Linked DNA regions of Lepisosteus oculatus. The protein of the gene in region 3 purifies or fractionates together with the protein of the main gene of each other region. This does not show direct contact. Links are inferred from orthologs where the notes say so. Each region holds a gene or a part of one and is shown on either strand. Other genes may lie near its edges.

The links.
Region 1: the proteins of dmd (region 3) and sntb2 purify together in Homo sapiens (co-immunoprecipitation; 4 studies listed by BioGRID and IntAct, counting the BioPlex papers as one, with this or other methods). This does not show direct contact. The link is inferred for Lepisosteus oculatus from reciprocal best matches to the Homo sapiens genes DMD and SNTB2.
Region 2: the proteins of dmd (region 3) and sntb1 purify together in Homo sapiens (co-immunoprecipitation; 4 studies listed by BioGRID and IntAct, counting the BioPlex papers as one, with this or other methods). This does not show direct contact. The link is inferred for Lepisosteus oculatus from reciprocal best matches to the Homo sapiens genes DMD and SNTB1.

The regions. Positions count from the first base shown.
Region 1 is NC_090715.1:12,723,209-12,731,436, reverse strand, and holds the start of sntb2 (beta-2-syntrophin), read right to left. Parts: upstream 3,218-8,228; 5' UTR 2,997-3,217; coding exon 2,279-2,996; intron 1-2,278. Other genes in the region: spire2 (protein spire homolog 2), read right to left, coding at 6,796-7,009, 7,317-7,414. UniProt on the Homo sapiens protein: Adapter protein that binds to and probably organizes the subcellular localization of a variety of membrane proteins. May link various receptors to the actin cytoskeleton and the dystrophin glycoprotein complex.
Region 2 is NC_090705.1:11,036,489-11,044,249, reverse strand, and holds the start of sntb1 (beta-1-syntrophin), read right to left. Parts: upstream 3,531-7,761; 5' UTR 3,188-3,530; coding exon 2,641-3,187; intron 1-2,640. UniProt on the Homo sapiens protein: Adapter protein that binds to and probably organizes the subcellular localization of a variety of membrane proteins. May link various receptors to the actin cytoskeleton and the dystrophin glycoprotein complex.
Region 3 is NC_090710.1:29,679,250-29,687,209, reverse strand, and holds the start of dmd (dystrophin), read right to left. Parts: upstream 3,267-7,960; 5' UTR 3,249-3,266; coding exon 3,152-3,248; intron 1-3,151. UniProt on the Homo sapiens protein: Anchors the extracellular matrix to the cytoskeleton via F-actin. Ligand for dystroglycan.

The DNA.
Region 1 (8,228 bases), on a different chromosome or scaffold from region 3:
TGGGATCAACCCTCCGGGTCATTACCAACGGAGCTGCCAACAGCTTCAGGCACAAGCCAGGCTCCGAGCCCGGGTCCATCCCAGTGAAAAAGGACGGGATTCGGACAAGAGGGTCCAAATTTTGTCCTCTGCAACCATTCCAGGAGCTAGGGAGGACACTGCGGATGAATATAATCTGACCGCATTCCATGACTTCTCCCATTATAAAAGAACATAAGTCAGTTTCTTCCATTTCTACCTAAAGTTTGACCTAAATAGTTACACGATGATTTAAAGAGGATTTGAAACCAGGGGACAGCAGCACTCTAGGATAAGACACAGGAGCCACTCGATTTTGGAAAAGCATTCTTTATTGCTTTCCTTGAATACGAAAGGTACACGGGTCTAATGGAAAGAACGGTGTCGGCGGGAGAATTTCCCTCTCGCAGCGCTGGGGCCCTGGGTTCAGTTGCTGGGGTGCTATCTGCCCGGAGTTTGCATGTTCTCCCCGAGTTTATTGGGGTTTCCTCCGGATGCTCCGGTTTCCTCCCCCAGTCCAAAAATATCTTAATAGGTTAACTGGCTTCTGCTACTTTGGCCCCGGTGACACAGTGTGAGTGTGAGCATGCTCGGGCCTGTGTGTGCCCTGCGATGGACTGGTGTCCCATCCAGGGTGTACCCTGCCTTACGCCCAGTGCTCGCCGAGAAAGGCTCTGGCTCTCCAGCAGCACCGCGCCGATAGAAGAGGTTGGAAAACGGGTGGACAGAAAGTACTGCACAACTGCAAGGACAGCACACCGGCTGTTTTTGTTTCAGACGCACAGACCTGCAGTTGGGACGACATGAGGGCATGGAGGTTAGCGCTGGCTGCCGCATCACAGCTCTTGGATCCTGGCTTCGATTCTGAACCGAGGTACCGTTTGTGTGGTGTTTGCATGTCAGGCCACACAAATAAGGGGGGTTTCAGCTTCCTCCCACTCTCCAAGGACATGCTGGCTGCTTTAACTGCTATGCCTCCAGCAGGGTGTCTGCTTTCCCAGACAAGACCCAAGTCTTACATTGTAGATACAGGCTCAGCAGGAACAGCGGTGAAGAGGAGCACTGTAGGAGCCTGTGCCTCCCGCCTCACGTCACACACTCCAGTGAATGTGGGAGGAATGGCACGAGAAACTGTCTCCTGCAACTTCAAAACGAAGGACAAGGCTCAGAACGAGTTTCCTGTCCCATTTTTCCAGATAACTAGGCTATACTATGAGCCCAGCACATGATGAAAGGCAGTACATACTGTTATCTGCTACGCAAAGAAGGACAAAGTAGATCAGCGCAAAATATTTCTATAAAATCCCCCCACACACACACACTTATACCAGAACACCGTGTAGGAAGTACACTGGAAAAAAATGCGTGAAATGTTTAACCACGAGAACAGATGACTGCTGTGAAATGTTCTCCAAAACACTGGGTTTGACGGCGACGTACTTCCTGTCGGAGCTCGACAGAGAGACACCGCTGCAGTTCGGTACCAGCTGGTCTGAGGAGGGGGACTAATTGATCGATCAAAAGCTCATTAATAGTAGGGCGGTGGCTCCAGTTATTAACCACACACGTCGAAGTCACCAGAACAACCTGCCTCACCTTTGCAAACCTCGCGGCGCTGTAACGAGCGTGTCATGCCGGCGAGGTGTTTCAACATGTACATCAGATCACTCACCTCCAGATAACGACGGGATTTAGGAAGAAAGGCGCTTGGATTTGAAGACTGGAATAGGGTCTTAGACGGGATCTTGAAACGACCAGCAATATAAACAGAGTAGCGCCGTCTGTCTTGCTTATATAAATCTTTAAAAGAAGGCGAGTATACACTGAAATGCTCAAGTACCCAGTAGACCCAAGTTCGAGCATGAAGGTATCCCACAAGCACTTCTGCATTCAGTGTAAAACAAGGGAGCAACATTTTCTGAACCCTGCATCACGAAAAATCTGTCCAATTGACTCGCATCTTAAGCATTTACGATTCCCCCTTAAATGTAATTGATTCCCTCATTCCGTGAGCCCCGAGTTTCGTTGACGGATTGAGGCATGCCGCAGTCAAAAACACTTCAAAGAAGCTCGTCTCGCTACTTCATCTCTGTGCGCGCACACACACACAAAATAAAATAATCATAATAATAACCTCCGCGCTTTCCAGTTTTACGCGCACGACTTCGGTCCCAGCCGGTGAAGTCCGCGCACAAACCTTTTCCCACCCACCGCCGTGGCCTAAAGAGGTGAATCCCCGAGATCGTCTGCGATCACGTACCTTCCAGAGTCACCTCCTTGCCGGCCTTTTTCAGCGCCTGCACGGCCTGATCGTGCGTGGCTTCCCGCAGGTCGTTGCCGTTGACCGACAGGATGGCATCGCCGACCCGCAGCGCCCGGCTCTGGTCTGCGGCGAGCCCGGGGAAGATCTTGGAGATGAGAATGGGCATGCGGTTCTCCCGTCCCCCCTTGATGCTGATGCCGAGCCCGCCGGACTCCTGTTTCACCACTCGCACTCTCCGCACCGCCTCGGAGCCGGCACTTTCCAGGCCGGGGTGGGTATCGCCCAGCCTCAGGGGTCCGGTGCTGCTGAAGCTTGAGCCGGGGCTGCCGTAACTGGAGCCGGGGCTGCCCAGGTCGGAGCTGGTGCCGTTATCTTGAGCGATCCTGCCCGAGCCCGGGCTGCCGAAAGCGTAGCCCGTGTCGGTCTGAGCCCGACTGACCCCGCCGCCCGCCGGGCTCCCGGTGCGTCTCAGCGCGCCGTGGTTCGGGTGCTGGCTCTGCGTCCGGGTCGGACCGCCCGACTCGGTCCCGTTCGACAGCCCGTTCCACAGGCCCGGCGAGGGGCTGTAATCCGCACTGCCGCCCGGTCCGATGGGCTCGGCATCCGCTGTCAAAGTTAGGGTCTCACGGGTGAGTTCTGCCAGGACCCTAATCCAGCGGTCCCGGAGCAGAAGGTCCAGAAGTCCGTTCTTATCAGCTCTCGTCCAGACGGCCATCGTGGTCGTTTTTTAAACTACGCCCGTCATAGTTGTTCAACTTTTTCTTTCCCTTCTTTATCAGCGCCAAGTTACAAGCAAAACCCGTCACACCCACAAACCCATTGAGCAGAAAAGTGCGCTGGAAGTCGAGTTGACTCGCGAAAGAAAATAAGAGGTTAGACCGACTTTTTTATTTATTCATGAAGGAAAGCCGAGGAGAGGAGAAGGGTGGTGGGGATAAAAACTTTACAACGGGGCAGGGTGAGACGGCGGCCAATCGTGGAAACGGGGCTGTTTATTATTCATAAGGAGGAAGGGCCTCTCCTGTCAAAAAATACCTGCTCCTGAACTACACGTGTCCGGCTGCGGGTCGCCGCATGTGGGCGGGGGGGCTCCGGGCCCTGACCCCGACCAGCCAGCCGAAAACCATCCAGACGCGGCCGGGGACCGGCGGCTAACGCGATGTGTCGCAATTACACACACAACTGGCGTGCTGTCGATCAATGAAGCAAGTAATGCGCTCCATTAAGGAGACCTCTAGCACTCGAGGGCTTCCAAGTGTTTTCTCAATGACTGACTTTTACTTGGGATGGCGTTGTTAGTTTTGGCCATCACACGGCACCACAAAAACAACAACAACAACAACAACAACAACAACAACAACAAAAAAGCTGTGGAAAGAGTTCAAGAAGAGAGCACCCCTTGCCTCAGGTGTTTATCAGATAGGGACAGTTTAAGGGCGCTAAGTCATTTCCATCTCGATCAAAACTGAGTTGAAAGGATAGAGATTTGAAGGTGTAAGGCTGAAGGTGGTTTCACACTGGGTAGCACAACCACGACACACAACCAGTGCCACAACCAGGGAGGGGAATTTATTTGGTACGGAGAATAGGAAATAATTCTTTACTCAAGACGGGCCTTCTCTCGCTTGCATCATTTTTGAAATAGTATTTCCATAAAGTAAAAAATAACAATAGCAAATCTCTCTCACGTGATCACAGTTACTACAGTATAACTTTGGTGATAGTTTTAGATGAGTGGTCAGCAATCTGGACCTGCGACCAGGCTTGATCGAGTCTCTTGCCTTGAAATTGTACAGTAAGTGCAGACTTTACTTCAAGTGACATATACAGTACACTGCATTGTCAAGTCTTGACTGTGTAGTCTCGGCGAAGTCCCACAGTCACTTAATATTGATCCAGAAGATCTGTCGTTGACTCTTGAAGCGCATTTAAAAACAGAGCGCAGCAAATGTTGTTCAAGTTTGTGGGTCGCTATTGCCACCTAGTGGCATAAAAATGCACAACATCTGATCGTGCTTGGCAGAATTATGGTAGACTTGACAAATTACCCTGACCCTCAGGAACACTCCAGTCTTCAAAAAGCCCAGCGTGTTCCTTCATGCTGTGGGAACTGAAACGGAATTTAAAACACTTTTGCAGCCATTCATCCAAGAGTTTGAGAGTTATTTAAAGTAAAAAGGATATTTTTTTAGAAAATAGTTTCTAGCTCTCTATTTAATAGCTATCTCATTGTGTTTTGTTAACACCATTGTGTATAAAGAAGTAAAATGATGATGGTGGTTGCTCTTACTGTCATTATTATTCATTAGATTGATAACTGTGTGGATAAGCCTACAGCAGAGCTCACTGAAGAGTTGCACAGCATGCTGTGTGAATGTCTTGTCAATGTCTTGTCTGATGCAAGCTTTTGCTCAGTTGAACAAAGCTCTTTTCCAGGTTTTATGTACTGTATTCAATGAAGTGATATACACTAAGGTGCCACACCCAGAAACATTCAGTGACCTTGGAAGAAGTATGAACGTTTGACAGAACAAACAAAAAATATAACTGCTGTAGTGAAGATCTTGAAGGCAGTTTGTGCTTCTACCATGCAATTGGTGATCGTGAACATTGTGTTAGATTAGCACCTTGATTTATGTGGAAAAATATATTTTAATCATGCACCTACTAGCATAGCTTCGGGAATGCTCAGCCGAGGACTAAATTGAATGTTCAAGGGAGAACACGGATTTTGCAAATGGATTTTTTATAATGTTTTTTATTAAACGAGTTGCAACTTTATTTGTAGCAGAATAACTTTATGGGACCTCATACAAATGCAAATACCTGCTGACAATGATTAAATACTATACTGCTTTTAGGGTAATTCTTACTCTCCTGTTTCAAAATTATTCTCTTTAGTTTTATTTCCAGTACATGCAAAAATGTAGGAAATGCATTAAATTCTTGTACTTGCTTGAATCAAGGGTCTCTTTCGGACAGATTTTATATTTTTACAATTGCATTGACTCGGTATAGCTGGGATTCAGACCCGCGTGTGTCTCATGTCAACAAGACTCACTCGTGATATCAGCTAAAGGATCCTGAAGCTCTGGACCTGACTCAAGACTCTTGGGAAACATCTGAGTTAAGCTGAGCAATTCTGACTTGACTACAGGTCTCCATGATGGTATATTGTTTGATCAAAAGTAACATGGATTGTAAATGGTCACAACGCAGATGCCAGGCCATGTAGATTTATTGCAGCTTAATTTTATTAAGTGTTTACAGGGTTCTGACATGAAAAAAGGCTTTGCACCATCATGTCTTTAAACTGGCCGGTGAAAGCAAAATACTGCCAACGTGGAAGCTTTCTAAATTAGTGCAGCTATCATTTTGCTCAATATCCTTCCTTGCAGAGGAAAATACCTAGATAAAACGTAACCGGTTCAGGTCACATCCACTCAGGATAGAAAGAAGAAAAATCTCCAAATAAGTTGGAAAAGCAAAATTTTAAAAAGCAAAAAAAGGATTGTGATAGAGTACACCAGTCAATAAAAATATGATTCTGACATTCAAATTCTGAGGTCTGAATGAAATTGATTTTGTTTTGTACACTGGACATTGCGTTCTGAACCACAAATTAAAAAAAAAGAAAAAATAAATTTTCCCCCAACAGAGACTGAATTATGATACAGATGTTTTCACCATGGGATTTCAGAAGCACCTGGATGACAATACTCATACGAAGCAGAAGAGCTTTCCCGAGATGATTTCTAAAGTTCTCTAAAGTTTCTAAAGTTTCACTTTTGCACAGGTCCTGCACAGCCGGGCGGCGTGAACTCTCAGCTCTCTGCAGCGGGACGACAGAGACAGCCCCGACACCCCTTGTGGCTTCTATTAATGTCAACCACCTCTGTGTTTGATGCTCTTGTTGAAACAGGTGGCGCAAGACACAGAGCAGGTCTGCTCGCAGACTCTCATTTGGATACCGACGATGTGGCAAGCTGTGTTTTTCCACGTGGAGTTTTCGATGTCCAAAATAAAGAAGAACAACTGTGAGGCAATGACCTCCACGGATTTTAGGGTCACATTCCCTTGCTCCTCATTTCTTCTCTCTTTGGCCCCGCTTTTAGGGTGACAAACCTTCACCCTTCCTCTTAACCAGTGCTCACATCGCAAAAGCAGCACTTACAGTACGTCTTGGGGAAGGCAGACTCCAACACATCCCAACGGGTCAAGTGCTAATTCCCCTTGGGGGGGCTTATTTTGCGCGTGCTGGGTCAAGTCTCTCTAAAACGTATTCCGATGACGTTTTGAAAAAGAGGTTATAATAGGCGACTGGAGCAAATGAATCACAACTTCAGGCAGAGAACAGCCGCAAACGTGAGGCGTTTGTCGTGGGAACCAGAAGACATTCACGCGCGGCGGTAACTCGTACCATGCCAGAAGAGGAACATCGAGGTTTATTTCAACACACAAATGGCGCTATGTTTTTCTTTCAGGGAGGGCGTATGGCGTGAAAGGCAAGCACTTTATTGGAACTTGGCACCTCTCCCAGGGCCCACCCTGACGGCCTGGGCTCTCTTGGGAGTGTTGTTCAGGATGTCCAAGCTCTTCCGGCTGGAGGTGATGACGTCGCCCACGAACTTGGCGCACTCAGAGCAGATGTCCTTCAGGCTGCAGCCGTTGGCGTAGAGGTGGGGGAACTCCTCTTCCACCGAGCGGCTCGTCAGGCTCCGCAGGGACCTAAAGAAAGAGCAGGGAAGGAGCGCTGTGAGGAGCGTCGCTGTCGAGCGTCCTCATGAGAGAAAGACAACCTGTCTGGAGATACCTTTCAGGATCATGGCGACTGCAGGCGTACGATTTGCCATGAATTCTAGGTAGGAATATTAATAATCTCTTGGTGTTTCCCAAAGCCGGGAAGCGGAAAGTTGGTTTTTCGGATCATATTAATATTTTGATATTCTAATAATATGAATGTTCATTCCCTATTGCAGTTGTCCTAGACGTAGTGGCAAGAGGGACAGGAGCCAGGGCTCGCCAGGTAACTTACTGAAAGACCTCTCCCTTCCTGGGGTGGCTGACTGTGCCACTCTCAAAGCCCACGGTGTAGACCGGAATGTGGGCCAGCTTCTTGGAGGGGATCTTCATCTGCACAACAAAGAAGACCACACTGACACCACCACTCACTGCAGCCTCGCAGAGGCACTAGTTAAAACAGTGGGAAGCACCTCCGCACAGGTTAGGTTATAGTCTCCCACTTTCAACTGCACAGCAACGCGTGTGATGGGGAATCAAGCACGCAGATTATAAAATTCAGATACAAGCGTTCATTGCGCAGGGGCTCCCGAGGGCTCTCGATCAGTTAGATTGTGCTCCCAGTACAGGTTAAAGATACATCCCGTCCATCACAAGTTCAAGTCTGGGTCATGTGACTGGTCAGCGGAGAAAGGATTTCCCATGGAGCACTGCACAGTAGACTCTTCTGGCGAAAGACTGGCCCCTGTGACTTCCCCGTCACCTGCAGCCTTGGAGAGTGATGTCAGCGAGGGACATCCTGCTCCTCCAATCAGAGGTTCAGGAGGCCAGTGGGTGGGCGGGTTAGAGGAGATGACCACACCAGGAATGTTTCATGTTTAAGGATAATTTACATGAATGATTTGGCGTAATGTACTTACATTATGCATATATTATACAAAATGCAATGCAATACTACATATTGGTCTACATTACCACTACCCACTACATTGGTCCCAAGTTGCTTTGTGGGAAACATAAGAATAATAACAAACAATAGGAAGACATTCAGCCATCTAGCCCATTTGGTTTTAATAGTTAATTGATCTTAGGAGCTCATCCAGTTGTTTCCTGAAAGAGGCTAGGGTGTTGGCTTCAACAACATGGCAGGGCAGCTTGTTCCATACCCCCACAACCCTCTGGATAAAGCAGTGCCTCCTGTTCTCAG
Region 2 (7,761 bases), on a different chromosome or scaffold from region 3:
ATCACTCTGCTCTCCTCCCCACTGAGAGCTGGTGTGTGGTGAGTGTTCTGGCGCACTATGGCTGCCGTCGCATCATCCAGGTGGAAGCTGCACATTGGTGGTGGTGGAGGGGAGTCCCCATTACCTGAAAAGCGCTTTGAATGGAGCAATTAGTAAGCAATTATTATTATTATTATAGATGGGGATTATTAGGAGGCCACTTTAACAGACGGGTTGATAAGGTACTTATTAAATGTACTTAAAAAGTGTTCTATGACTAGAAGATAATTACAATATTAACATAATATAGAGTTTATTTTTATCTCAGCTCATACAGTACATTGGTAAGGGCCAATGGGAATTGTGGCCAGGACACTGGGGTTAAACCCCTTACTCTTTTCGAGAAATGCCCTGGGATTTTTAAGTACAGTGTCCCAGTCACTATACTGGGGCATTAGGACCAACATAGACCGCAGGGTGAGCTCCCCCTGCTGGCCCCACTAACACCTCTTCCAGCAGCAACCTTAGTTTTTCCCAGGAGGTCTCCTATCCAGGTACTGACCAGGCTCAGATCAGCTGAGCTTCAGAGGGCTGCAGGGTGATATGGTTGCAACTCACAACTGGCAACCCACTGAAGCTAGGTTCTTTGACTATGTAATACTATAGAGACAATGTTCTCAGCCTTTACATTGCACCTTACTTTGTGCAAGATTATGCTCTTTCATTTATGCATGACAATGCACAGTCCCATATCAGACTTTCAAATATTATCAGATATTTCCTGGCATGGCACATTGTGTGTGTGATAGACTGGCCACACTATTCACCTGACATAAACTCAATAGAGCACCCTTGTAGTGCACTGAAGTGGACAAGTGTGTGTGTGCGTTTCCTCGGGATCCTTGATCATGCACACCCACTGAACTGTGTGCATCACTCCCGGCTCATACAGAAATAAACGCTTGTGCGATACTGATGCCTTTTCATGTCTGTCAGCAAATGGAGAACACATGAAGTATTGAACTCATGCATTGAAAAAATGTACACCTTTAGCACTTAACTTCCTTCTTTTTGATAAAAGATTTAAACATGAATGTACCATAAGTGCCCCAGCATTACTAAAACATACATCAGCCTTGTTCTTGAATAATGAAATATAACAATACATTTATTTTGTTGTGTTTTAACGCATCTCAGTATATAACACAAAGTCTTTGGCAATCCCACCTGACTTCAGCAGAGCCTGCTCAAACATTTATTATTTATGTATTCACTGACCATCATAAATGTAAACGAAGCAAAAATGTTCATGGTAAACCGCCAGCAAATGCCTACCCGTCCACCATTTTATTCTGACACCTCAGGCTCCCCCCGTCTGGGGAACCACTGCTCCAATTGCACTGAAACTTGGCTGAGCAATCGAGGGTGCTTTCCGATTGGCCTCTTGCACAAACTGCCTCTTTGTAACGACCATTTGGACAACTGACTACTCCAGAAGTTCATCACACTAAAACCTGCTCCTCACATATTGCAGTGAATTTTTTTTATGGCCACAACAGGTCATCACTTGCCTGGCACAATGCTTCTTTAAAAACTGTTTGGCCGCTGACATCTGAACTCGGCAGTTTTAATCTCCCCCCCCCGACTTTACTTCCAGTTGACTCACACTGTTAAAGTGGAGTAAGACTTGCTGTTTTCTAGCATTTATTATTTAGATTTTGCTACAGTACAGCCTGTGTTTAAGCCCAAATGTTACGATAGAAATTTACATACGTAGGTCAAGGTTTGTTTGTTTTTTTTTACTTTTCCATTCATTTAGGATCGCATCCTCAATTTCGACAAGCACACGCAGATTAATGGCTGGGAAATGTTAAACTGCGAACAAAGCAACTTTTGAGGAGGGAAACAAGCTGCTAAATGTGTCCTTTTAATCGTCTTCACTCCTTTTTTTAAACAAGACCCCCCCCCTTTAATATCATACTGTATGTACACTCATTTTTGATAGATGTAGATCTACGTACGTGGAGCATAATCTATGCGAGAACTCAATGTACTGACAGCTATTATGTCCAAGCATATGTAAACATTGAAAACGTGACGTTAAACAGACTTCGAGTACTGTTCTTTTGTGAACCTGTTCCTGGCCATGCAAGAGTTGTTAACCTCATGCCCGTCTGCAAAACAGTTACTCTTAGGGAAAGTTGAACGGTGTAAGCCTGCACGCCATTCGATTGGATGACTGATTCCATGGATTTTGTAGTTCACTGTATAACCTATTTTTACGGCGAAGTTTACATTGTAAATGGCAAACAATCGCACTGCTCTTAAATGTTAAACAATCACAACAATCTTAAACGTGAAACTGTGACATTGTCCGTCACGTGACAGAAACAACACACATCAAGAGTAAAACTACATTATGACCTTAAAATTCATGTATTTGTACTAGTTATTTAACGGTTTTATTTCCATTTCTGTATTGCTTCGCATTTTACACGCCTCTTCTTTTTTTTTCTGATGGATGTACACAATATTCCCCCACCAGTTAACTTTAAAACTGTCGGTCTCTTACGTGACTGTATATCCCCATTGCTGATACCGAAGTTCTCTCCCGTTCCGCGCAAAAAAACCAACAACAACAAAAGTTTCTCCGTCTCTTACCTTCCAGCGTCACCTCTCTTCCAGCCCTCTTCAGCGCTTGCACCGCCTCGTCGTGAGTGGCGTCCCGGAGATTCACTCCGTTCACCGACAGGATCGCGTCCCCGACATACAGCGCCTGGGTCTGATCCGCGGCTAGACCCTTGAAGATCTTACTGATGAGTATCGGCATCTTATTTTCCTTGCCCCCCTTAATGCTGATCCCCAGTCCCCCGACCTCCTGCTTTATGACTTTGACGATTCTCTTTCTGTTAGCTATCGCCTCCGGCACTTGCTCGGGTGAATCGGTGTAAGCTGTCCTGACAGGGGCTTTGGGGCTGTTCGTGGGATCGGGGTGACCCCCGTATGATCCATTGGTGATGCCATTCAGATTGACATTCTCCCCGGGCTCCTCGTAGCTCAGCGTGAGGGCTTCTTCGCCTAAACTGGCGAGAACTTTGTGCCACCGATCCCGGACCAAAACTTCTAAAAAACCACTTTTCTGAACCCTGCTTGTCGGAACTGCTGTTGCCACCGCCATCTTTGGAACATTCTTAAAATGCCATGTCATTAAACACACTCAGGACTTTACTCTCGGACTCCGGAGAGCTTGGGAAATAGTTTTTATCCTTTTTTTTTTCCCTCAGCCGCCTAATCTCTCTCACTCCCCTTATCCTTTTTGGGTGGAGCAACCCATTAGGAAATCCCACAAAAACCGAGCAAAGTTTTCAACACGCAAAAAAAAAAAGAGAAGAGCTTTCTCCGGGAAGTTTTAACGTTTTCATTTCCTCAAAAGCTGTGAGTTACAGGTGGGACTTTTTAGATAGTTTGCATTTTCTTGGTCCCTAAACGCCAACGCTGAAATAGTTTTATTTTCACGAAGTTTCCGACGCAGGAAGTCATGAAGCGTCTAAAGGCATTTCAAGGCAGATTTTAACAAATGTAACTATGTCCAAGATGAAGTAGCAATAATGTAACTTGCAAAATCTTAGTTTGAAGCTGTTGACTGAACGGGATACACGTGTCTGTAAAACGGGATAAATTCGAGTTGCGAATTGAAATTTGAACGTCGCATTTCAAAATACATGTATATGAGGGATGATAATGGATTACAAATACAGATTTACTATTTTCATTTGACGTCTTCATAAGCCGTTAGAAAATACGTTTTTAACTTGTCGGAACTGTCCATGTCCTCGCTGTATTTCTCCGCATTAGATGTTAAGGCTATTGCAAGGGAAAAAATAATGTTCTTGCTTTTTAAACGTTTCTTTTATTTTCATTGATTACAGGTGACACGCTTTAAATCGAAAGTATTATAGTTTAAAATGCAAATACTAAGATGTAAAGCTATATTAAGTAGAAGCTTAAATTTGATATGGTCTTGGTAAAAATTGCTAACATTTAAAAACAGAAACGGTGACTAGGTAAAACAACTGCTGAGATACACCTGCAAAGCCTTACGTTTTTCTTCGTAAACTCAAACGAAAAACAGATACACAGCAGTGCACTAGTTTTTCAATGTATGGGAAGTGAGCTTACACTGTACATACAGTATATAGCAAAGATCCGGAACTCCACAAGAAGAAGAAAACGTTTAAACAAACAGCAATTTCGCATGACGCACAAATTCTGGTAAAAGAAACTGTCATGAAAGCAATAACTCTTTTGTCAGTTTTGTGTACCGATGCAAAGAATCCTTATCTACCGGTTGGGCTTGGGGTTAAGAATATTTCTGTGTTTTGCATACATATTCACATGGTTCAGTACACCTGAGGTGTCCCAGTTACTGAATGTGTTTTAAAAGGAATATTCGGGTACAAGAATAACATGGAACAGTGTGTAATTTGAAAATAATAACCAAACTGCGATAATCTATCAGGCATAATGCCCCTTTTATATGAAATGTTATATCAAATCTTTAAAGGCCTATATGGAACTCGTCTCTATCCAACTGGCTTTTAATTCCTACAGGCGTTTAAAGAGACCAGAGCTATGGAACCCTGCTGTAATTCTTGAGATGTTCACAGCAGTAAATCTACAATATTTTTACGAATGAATGCTTTCTGTGTTTCTACCACACTTGATTCACACACTTAGCTTTTTGTCGTGATTTCGGTGCTTCCCTGCCTTCTACCATCATTTCACTGTGCTTCGATATATATTAAAAAAAAAAACATTTGTCCTGGCAAAAGTTTTAAAAAGAAAATGCGAGATGCAGAAAGGGAGGATCTGACAGGGTAATTCGGTATCTGCCCTGAGCTCAGATTATGTCACGAAGAAATCCTCCGGTTTGACGGTTCGCAGTTTATCATTGCCAGAGGAAAGGTGCTTGATGCTGGACCGCTACCCCTCTCAGAAATGATCATTGCAGAGTTCTTTCTTGCAGGCAAGAATACAAAACAATAATAATGTAATAATAACCATGAATCAATTTTAATAACAGTTTAAAATCTCACAGAAATACTTTAAATGGACACATAGTGTTTACCATAGTAATAAATGAAAATTCCTCGTTCGGACCTCTTCTTTTAATACTCCAGTTTAAAGCAGGTGCTGTGGGCGACACCTGGTGGTCAATTATTGAAGTAGCTAATAGGAGTGATGATTTTTAACCTTAATACAAAACTCAACGTACACCAAAGACGTATTTTGAAAGGCAACAAGTATTCATAAAAGCCTAAAGGTTACAGAACAAGAACGTATTTGCATCAAGCATTAATTTGTAGTCTATACGTTTCAACTTTTAACAACATGAAATCTTCTAAAATTACTCGTTGAGACTTGTATCAATAGTTGGAAAACCAAAACGAATAGTCCTTTAGATATGCCTGCTTTACAATATATAATTTATCTAATTTTGACTACTATAACTAAACAAGTCAAGAATTTAACTATTCCGTGATAATTGGTCCAGACCTGCGAACTTCAAAGTGCCACCGACTCAACATAATTAAAGCACCCTGAGCAGAACAGCAAATACCGCCCCCTTCTGGCAGAATCTTAACATTGCGGTGTTGGTCAATGTCTTGGCCACTAAATATCATTGTATACAGTAGTTGTCAGCTAAATAGCTAGTTAAATTAAATCCCGTAAATCAAGCAATGTAGTGGCAATAATACAAAATGTCAAACACAACACCTTATAAGTATTGCATCTGATTCTTAAAAATAGAACAGAGAATATACATTAATATTATTTAATAAATTAAGACTGAAAAGTGGCTCTGGGAGAAATTCTAATAAATTAATTCTAAAGAAATAAAGAAGTTCTTATTAAAACATTTATATAGCACTTCTCTGGATACTCCACTCAAAGCACTTTACAGGTAAAGGGGACTCCCCTCCACCACCACCAGTGTGCAGCCCCACCTGGATGATATAAGAGCAGACATAGTGCACCAGTACACTCACCACACACCAGCTATCAGTGGGGAGGAGAGTAATGATGATTCATAGATGGGCATTATCTGGAGGCCATGATTGGTAAAGGCCAATGGGAAATTTGGCCAGAAACACCGTGGGATTTTTAATGACCACGAGAATCAGGACCTCAGTTTTAAATCTCATCCAAAGAATATCACCTTTACAGTATAGTGTCCCAGTCACTATAGTGGGGCAGTGGGACAAACACAGACTGCAGGGTGAGCGCCCCCTGCTGGCCCACTAATACTTCTTCCAGTAGCAACCTTAGTTTTTCCCAGGAAGTCTCCTATCGAGGTACTGACCAGGCTCACACCTGCTGAGCCTCAGTGGGCTGCCAGCTGTGAGTTGCAGGGTGATATGGCTGCTGTCTTAATTGTATAAGAGATATTGCTTCTACAAGAATGTTTCCATAATTTTACAGTTATAACAATGACACTGATTAGGAGGATATTTTGGCTTTTAGAAGCTCAATTATTATTCATTGATTAAAGTCCAAATCAGCTTACAGCTATACCCAGTTACAGAGCTTGGTATTTGACAGGTATAAAGTACTTGTCTCAAGCGGACCTAACTCCATTATTAACTGCATATAACCGCATATATTTACTGCTTTCTTTAGCGCCTCAGGTAGCAAAAGCATGAAATAGAAATACAAAACAGGAGACAGAAGATGCTACTTAAGTAAAATATTTATTTGTTCATGTCGTCACTTCTTAAAAACCTCTCGACAATGTGGGGAAGCGATATAATGGCAAATTAAATGTTAAGCTGTATACCATAGTTTAAAAAAAACAATTTAAAAGAGGTGATGTAATATTAAAATTATGATCAATTATGATCAATTAAACAAGAGATTTTATTACTAAGGTCTAAGTAGTCCTCAGCCAAAGTTCTTTTTATTGAACAGATGCCCTGCTCGATTCATCAGTAGCTAAAAAAACAGGTGACCTATAAAACCAGAGGGACTGGGGCTTTCCAAGACCATGATTGAAGACATCTGATCTAGATCATTGATATTAATGACAAAGAGCAGGGTTCCTAGTGCAGACCCCAGTGGCACTCCACCAATTGCCTCACTGTAATTACATTTGTTTTGAGTATAACATAATTTTAGCAGTTAAAAATAAGATTCTGTGAAAAAGGATGTCTGTAATCCCATATATTGTTGCTCCCAGACTAAAGTCAAATTAGTCACCTTTATGAGATTGATCAATAAGTGCTGATCCATCTCATAGAGGTGATCAAACACAAGAGTGAGAACAGGAGCCACGACGATGCTCCTCCGCTCTGTGGAAGTGGCTTTGAGTGTTCAAAGCTGAAGAGCTTACTGTATTTGCTCATCTCCTCGCAAAGGTGGTCAGCTGGGTCAAGATCAATATGTTACACCAGTTCCAGGATGGTTCCTGTCTTTTTTGTATGTCTTTAAATACAGACAGACCTTATGGAAAACAGCACCACCCGGTTCTCTACAAAAATCAGTTATGCTTTTAGATGTCACAGATCTGTAGAAGGAAGGATTGTTAAATGCTTTAAAATTCCACAGTCTAAAAAAAAAAAAATTGGTCAGGGGATGTCATGAAAGTAGTTTATTAATATTGCATTTACACATGGTTTCATTCACATTAGGCCCCATCCTTCAAATCCACTCTTGAAGTGACCGCCATCAGTCCCAGCACAAGGTGGCAGAATACTGCCTCTCCCTCTTACTGAGTGGAGTCAA
Region 3 (7,960 bases):
TAAACCTTTTCTTTTGCTAATGAACTCAGAAACTACTGTGCTGAAGACACTGTTAGCTTTATTACTGCTTCAAATATTTCAGCCAAAAAACACGCCATTCTGTCTCTTGAGAAAAGATGTTAAAAGTCTTAATACAGCCACTGTATTAAGACAGAACAATTGCAAAGTCCCAGTTTAATAGGCTTTAAAATGCAAGCTTTATATTCTAAAATTCTACCAAGCTTTGTATGCTTTAAGATTAGTGTATTAATATTTATAAGATGATGCTGCAGATTAAGAATAATTACGTTTTCCATGTAATCACTCTTTTGTTTCAAGCTAAGACTTTCTAACAAAAGGTTCCAGGACAAGGCAGCATCATCTAACATAGATTCCTGTCCCAGTTTGTTCGATATGCTACAGAATACTGCATTCAGGACTCACATCTATTAAATAATAAAATGAGTAAAGTGATCCAACACAACCGTTTCTCATTAGTCGTAATGGGATTAAATTATTTTATTGTGATTATCAATTCAGGGTGGTACAGTGGGTAGCACTGCATCATGGTCCTGGATTTAGAGCAGTCTAGGTGGAGTTCATGTGTTTGTCCATGTTTGTCCTGCGTGTTTTGTTTTGTGCCTGTGGATTTTCTCTAGATGCCTACCATAGTCCAAATACTGCACACACTGTCTGGGTAATTGGGATCTCAGAATGGCTCCCTGTTTGCTGGTTCGCAAGAGAGCCTTATTATGGATTTGTGTCCTTTCCAGGTTATAATCCTGCCTTGTATGCTGTGCTTACAGGGTTTTGATCCACTGCAAACCTCTAAGGATAAAGTAGTAACTAAAAATGGATGGATGGCTTATTAAAATAAGCAACACTCCTCAGAATGTACAAAATACAATTACACTGGACTGCTTCTCTTTAACAACAATGTCTGAAAGGGAAATAAGGAGTCATTTCTATGTTATTGCCATTACATTTTAAGCAATATTTTCTGGGCAAAGACCTACAGTACGCAACACTCCAGCCTATTAGAATGAGCAATCAGTGGCTATCACCTCTACTATTTAGTGAATACAAAATAGTAACACTATTATAACACTTCCTCCCACCAGTCGATTCAAGCATGATAGTTCTCAGAAAAATGTAAGATCAAAAGTCTGTTGTCATGCAGCTTTTTTTCCCCCTCCTAGTCAAGACCTATTTTTTGTTCTTTGTGTAACAGCGAGTTTTTTTTTTTCCATGTTAGCAAAGCTGTAAATCTCTCCCGACTGAGCCAGGAGAAGAGATATCAGCTTGCACTGTGGAGTGTGGTCAAGGACTGGATAGTTCTCATTGGACCTGAGAAGTGATAGGTTGTCTGGTTTCACACGAAGGGTAAAGAGACTGTCACTCCCATATCTCAAGGACAGAGGCCTCTTTGCCCTCTTGGGCCTGCAACAGGTGGCAGATTCTGTCCTCCCCTTTGCAATCATCCCTGGGGTTAAGTGTGCTGCTGGCAGAAGGATTATATCCAGTCTCATGCTGTTAAAAGGCTGAGAACTGGATTGTGTGTTGGGGCCAAACTGACCCTGAGAAACCCTCGCACAACTGCCTGAGGACCCAACAGCTATGAGACAGCAGCGCTTACTGCCATTCCACAGGGCCATGTCACTCAAATGAAAGCATACGGCAACTTCACCTTCTTCTAACTAACTGCACTAGAATTTGTATAAATCTGTGTGCCAAGTAAAATCGAAATCGCTGAGAGGTAAATTACGTTAGACACCAGGTCCCAGACAAGAAGCAGTTCTGTGATTTTGTGTTCTTTTCAAGTTTCGACAACAGAAAAGTCTAGAACTGTCCTTTTTCTAACCACCTGCTTCTAGTTCAATTTAATTTCAGGTCAGCTGTCAGATTATCCAATTAAGATGATTTATCCTACAAGACAAAGCTAACAATTTTCACGTACTACAGAAAGTAGCATTCTGAATACAAGAACGACACAATGCTCTGAAACCTTACAGCTGGGGTTTTTCTAAGCCGATCCAGATTTGTTTCACACAATCATCATCAAACCAAATCTAACGTAACTTCTGCTTCACTCTGTCCAGATTCTCTAAAGCTTTTTTTTATTAAAGCAAAATATGCCACAGCTGCACCTTGCCTGAAGCAGATCACAGCTGAGGATATGCCAAAAACATGCAGCCTTTGAGGACAATGGAAAAGTCTCAGTTTGCATTAGTCAGGAAATCCGAGGTTTCACTAGACATGTTTCCAAATATTAAACAGCTTCAAAATTAGCTGTCAAGTCTCATTTCTATATGTCAAAGCTTTTTTTTTTACAAATAAGCTGATATAGGGAAATTAGGAGCAGTAATTAAGCACAAAATCAGAGAGCAGCTGGGGAGGCATCAAGTTGGCAAAATGCAAGTACAGTTTGGTTTGCTGAAACAGATGCAGCAGTTATCTACAACAATACTGCTGGACCATTTCTGAGTTTTTTTTCTTTTGCTACTGTACACTCCCACCTCTTCAGGAATAAATTAATAAAAAAAAAACATTTGTGAAATAAAACAAAGTGGAACCAGCAGCAATAAACTCACATTGCTGCACTCATAACATCATATAAAGTAAGGAAAGATTCATTACAAGACACGGTATTATCAGTAAGCCCAAGTGGTTGTAATACTCTCTGGCAATTTCTACAGGGAATATTTTTTTGCTTCTTTCTTTCCTTCTAACCCACTTTCTAAAGCTAGACTGACTACTGTTTTTATTTTTTTGTTGTTTTTGGCTTACCTGACAAAATCTAATTCCCCAGTTCTTTTCATAACTACATGCAGTCTATTAATAGTTGATGACTGTTTTAAAGCAGATTTGTTTCACAGCAATGGTTTGTTTTCAGTCGGTATTCCCCCACTGAGGACTGTAACATTAAGTCTTCAAAACAAGGAGAAGAAGAGCAAGAGAAAAAAAAAGATCCATGCTGCTAATTCTGATAGATAGCCACAGCAAAAAAGACAACAAATAATCTTTTTTTTTTTCGGCAGTTTGACTGACACAACCCCTTTCAGTGCCTAGCAACAAATCCTCTTCCATCAAGCACAGGGCATTCTAACATATGCTCTGTCATGGTCAGTTTCTAATTACATTCATAACGATGTGATGGCGTTTGTAATCCTACCTTCCATGCCAGCTGCTTTCCCATTCACTCCATCACGCCAATAAGTTGGCGGCTGAAACCAATCTGGGCTGTGCAAAACGGCATCTTTTCCCTGCATCTGTCATCTTCCGGAGAGCATTCTATTACTGCCGACTGCTGGGAGCCAGAAAGTCTATTTGAATTCCAGCAGCTCCCTTCTTTCCTGCTTCAAGTTAGGCTAGGTGGGCATGTCTAACGTGATTCTCTCCATCATTTATTATGCAGCTGCTACACGATCGTGTCCTGCTAACCCTTTTTTTATCTGATACATCACTCGCAGTAACCTAGACCTTTCTGCTATAACACATCTGAAGCTACTACAGTAAAATCAAGGCTGCATGCACATCTGGATGTATATATATATACAGTACATTTTATATTTGGTTTTATATATGAAAAGGGAATACATTTTTTAAAATAGTAATTTATTTAAACATGCACATGCTGACACACTCTAGGTGTCAGAATTATCCTTCCATTCCTCTAAGATAGGAAGAATTAACATGAAAAATTGATTTGAAGGAACAGTTTTACCATGGTTAAAAGAAAATGCAGCAGAAGGCTAGTTTTGCAGGGATTTTATGACAAACTTTTCTTATCTGCATATCCACGCTCAGTGCTACACATACATTCAATCAATGATTTCCCAGAGCACACATCTAGAAAACTGCTGTTTGAAGTCATGTTTTCCATTGTCCTGTCAAGCTTGTCGTATACCTGCTGCTCTATAGACCTTGGGGCAGGTAGATTCTAGTGCGTCACTTTTTATTTTTAATCTTCTTTTAGATTGAAGTATTTTATGTTTAGTACAGGTGGGCATTTCATTTAGGAAGCTGAAAATACAAACCCCTCACCCACAAATCTCTTTTCTGCAGGTGCAACGTGTTTTTTTTTCCCTGTGTAAGTCTTTCACAGTGACGTAACCACTTCTGTCCCGAAAGAATGAAAGCTATGGGAAGCCTGCTGAGTTATACGACCAGTCTTTTGACCGACCAGATGCGTTTGCATGTCAGCGCACTGTGTGGTGGGGGATGCTTACGAGACAGAAGATTGAATCCCAGCAGGAGATAAACTGTGCATGTATCAGAGGCTTCACATTCAAGGAAGCTATGATGTTTGCTCCACTCCTGACTTTGCCACTGTAGTTAACGTTACTACTCTTTTGTGTTCTTTTCTGTCCATTGAGACTTTTTTGCAGACTCCTCCACAGTAAGGCTTCAGTAAGAGTCCTTATGGACAAACTATCACTGTATGTTTTCTCCTTTCTTGAATATAATTTGCCTAGCTTCATTTCTCTCAGCACATTTTCAGGCTCACCGTTTAAAAGAACGCTTCCAAATGTTCCTCTTACGTACAGTAGCTGAAGTTAAATGCTCCCTGTTATACTTCTTTCTGAAATGGTTAACACACTTTGTTTTTTACAAGTCAGTGTTCAGGAAACCATGCTGTACATATAGTTTTCCATTTGCATTTGGATGTAGAAGGTGTGCCCATTATTTTGTCTGCCAGATGTGCAATGTCTTCTGTCTTAACATTTATAATTATTTTGCAACCTTTTAAAATACATTTGAATATTACAAAGAAAACCTTTATACTGAATCAATTTAGACAACTTTTAAAAAGTGCCCATAATTCATATTATAATTTTAAAGACTTCACAATGCATGCGCACAAAGGTGTAAAACATTTGAAAAGCCCAACATGGAATCTAAAACCACAATAAAAAATGCCATTGGTAAGAGTGTCAAGGAAGGACACAATGCTAAAATCAAGGCACCAGTAGTGACTAGACATCAGTATATCATGTTGTTATACTGTATGTGTGCCAAAACACCAATATATTATTTTTGAATCCCTTTAGAATAGGGTCTAGAAGCAGCTCAATACTGCATTCATTCAATCTGATTGAATCGTTCAGCGATTTGTCTGACCCTGTTAATATACACCTTCTCATAAATTTAGAACCTTTCAACATGAAGAAAGAAGCTTTTAAAGCCAATAAAATAACAGGGAGGCAAGTATGCAACAATGATATCCAATCAGTTTTGCACTGCATTTCAATCAGCGCAGAATGCACAAAATTGCTGATCCTCTTAAGTTTGCTCTAAAAATGGCAAAACTCTGCACAAAAAAGAGCACAAAAACAAAGCCTTTTTCTAAAGTACATTGTTTTCTTTAAAAAGTCAGAAATATTTTAGCAGCTCGCAAACTGAAAGGCGTCTCATTTAAGCTGTCCTATAGTTATACACATTTCCAGGACACTGGAAATGTCCTCGTTAAACTGATTAAACTGATTTATTTAATCAATTCTTTTTTTGCCTCTTTTTTTATCTATTAAAATTTGGAGATAGCTTCATTACTTTTCTACTGCTTTTTCATCTCTGTCTGTATGTCTGATTTAGATACAGACAGATTTAAGTTTCGTTGCCCTAATATACTGTCTTCTGCTATTCTTTTCAATATCTATCATTGTCACTGGAACTACTGGAATAATTTGACGTCAGTGATTTTATTGCAGTGATTAAAGCATAGGTTTACCAGTGAACTTCACTTGCGGTCATTCTTATTTGCAAATGTAAAAACAACAAAGAACCTCATTAAAAAAAAAAACATTTTGCAGGACAAAATTAAAACCCGCTTCATTTTTTTCACTACCCTTTTCTAAATGAAGTTACTACGCCTATGAAGACAACTCACACTGTGACATTAATGACTGGTAGAATTCAAATGAAGCAGTAAATGGGAATTCTTCTGTATTGACAGAACCAGCAGCCAGAGGAGCAGAAGTTAGGATCTGTCTTTCTCTCCCTGAACTGCCAGAGAAAGTGGATTTTGCAGTGTACTTTGAGGATAATTCCCTTGCTGGCCCACAACTACAGAAAGAGATACATTTCAAATCCTGTCTCAAAGACAATCGGTTTGGTGGCTTGGTGCTCAAGGGAGGTCTGGAGTGGAGCATCCTTCTTCGAGAGACAATATCCTGTAAATGGTCTTGCTTTAACTGTTTGTTCTGGCTGTGAATCCCTTGTGGTAAAATAATGCACTAAAATATCTAAATGGCTTTGACAGTAACTGGTGCACCTTTTGTTTAATGGCAATGAAGAAATATAAATAGTGGCAATTCAGTTAATAAAAAATGTCATTTAAATAAAGCCTCTTGGCAAATATTCATAGAGGTGGGGGATTATGGCATTTATATAGGACAAATCGACATTTATTCTCATGATAGTGACATATGCAGTAGCATGTATTGTCACCTTCTTTTGTTTGGCTGTTTTATCTTTGACCACTCTTACAAAGCAACGTCTTGCTACAGGTCTTAATAGAAGGTCTGTTGCCAAGACAACAATATCTAGACCCCTAGAATAAGTTACAACAAGTTACAAAGGAGTTTTCAAGACATGATCTTCAAATTTGAAATTCTGAAATCTAGACAGCAGTTTTTTTTTGTGAAGAACTGTTGGTGAACAGTGTTGTACTAAAGGTTGTGAAACGAGATTTCTGAGACAATTTGGGGTGTGACTGGTTTTAAGTGCCATCAAATTAGTAAGAATCTAAATCTTGCCAAGGAAAAGCACAAGCAGATACAACATCACTATTCTGTGCCATCTCTACACTTGCAGACTAAAATAATTTTTCACCATGACAAGGACCCGAAATACCAAATAAAACATTCTTTTGGTCAGGAAATATATGTTTGGCAGAATATTGTATGTTAAAAATGTAAAATTATAAGCTATCATGAAGTTCTGTTTCAGTGAAGCATTCTGACATTATTTCTTAGGTTACCAGAATAATAATGAGCTAAATGTTGCAATAATCAATGAATTTCCAATGGTGAAAAGCACACATATAGTACCATAGTTCACAACAATTGCATTAATAAACTGCAGTATACTAAGAACTAGGGCGTTTGTAAAATTAGGAGTATAAATGATAAATCACAGAAATAAGAAAAATGAATGATTTTGAAACAATGCTATCATGTATTTTTTTGTTATTGTCTGATAAGAACAAAAATGAGAGAGTGAACAAAAAAAATAAAAATAAAGAAGTCCTCCAAAGTTGGGGGGGTGGGGTGTAGGTTGGTTAAAAAAAATAAACAATGATATCATGCAAAATAGCTGTCCATGATTAATCAACAAACACTGTGAACACTGCACTGATGTAACAACTATGAATACTATATTAAGCATTATTAAATGCAGCACATTTAAATATTTACATACAAACCAATAGCGAAGGAACATATTTGTCAAAAACTGAGGCCTAACTGTATTTCACAACAACTGGTGTGTTTGTCAAATAAGCCGAGCCATGCAGCCCGTTGAGAGTTTATCAGAAACAGCTGGTCTTAAAAGATATGAGAGAGAAGCTGGAAGCAAACTGCTAAACTGATCAAGTTCACCTAAAAAGACCGATGAAAGACCTGACTGCAGGTTGCAAAGGGCAGGTTCCCTAGCCACTGATGATAGTACAGAAGAATAGACGCAAAGGATAGGTGAGGTTTGAAGAAGAGACTCTACAGGGAAAGCTTCACTGGTGATTGCACTAGCATGTCATTTATATTGCTAATAATGTAATATTTAGTTTGTCACACATACATTGCACATGACCCTAGAACTGGAGTGGCAAAAGTGCTACCGTTAATCTAGGGATCTTTTTGCCTTCTTTAAGTCTAAGAGATTCATTATCTGGATACTTGGAAGTATTACAGTTTAGCAAACAAAATATTAAATTAAGTAATTTCGGTCTGAGAAGCAGCACTATATGCCTGGGACCTGTGCTCAT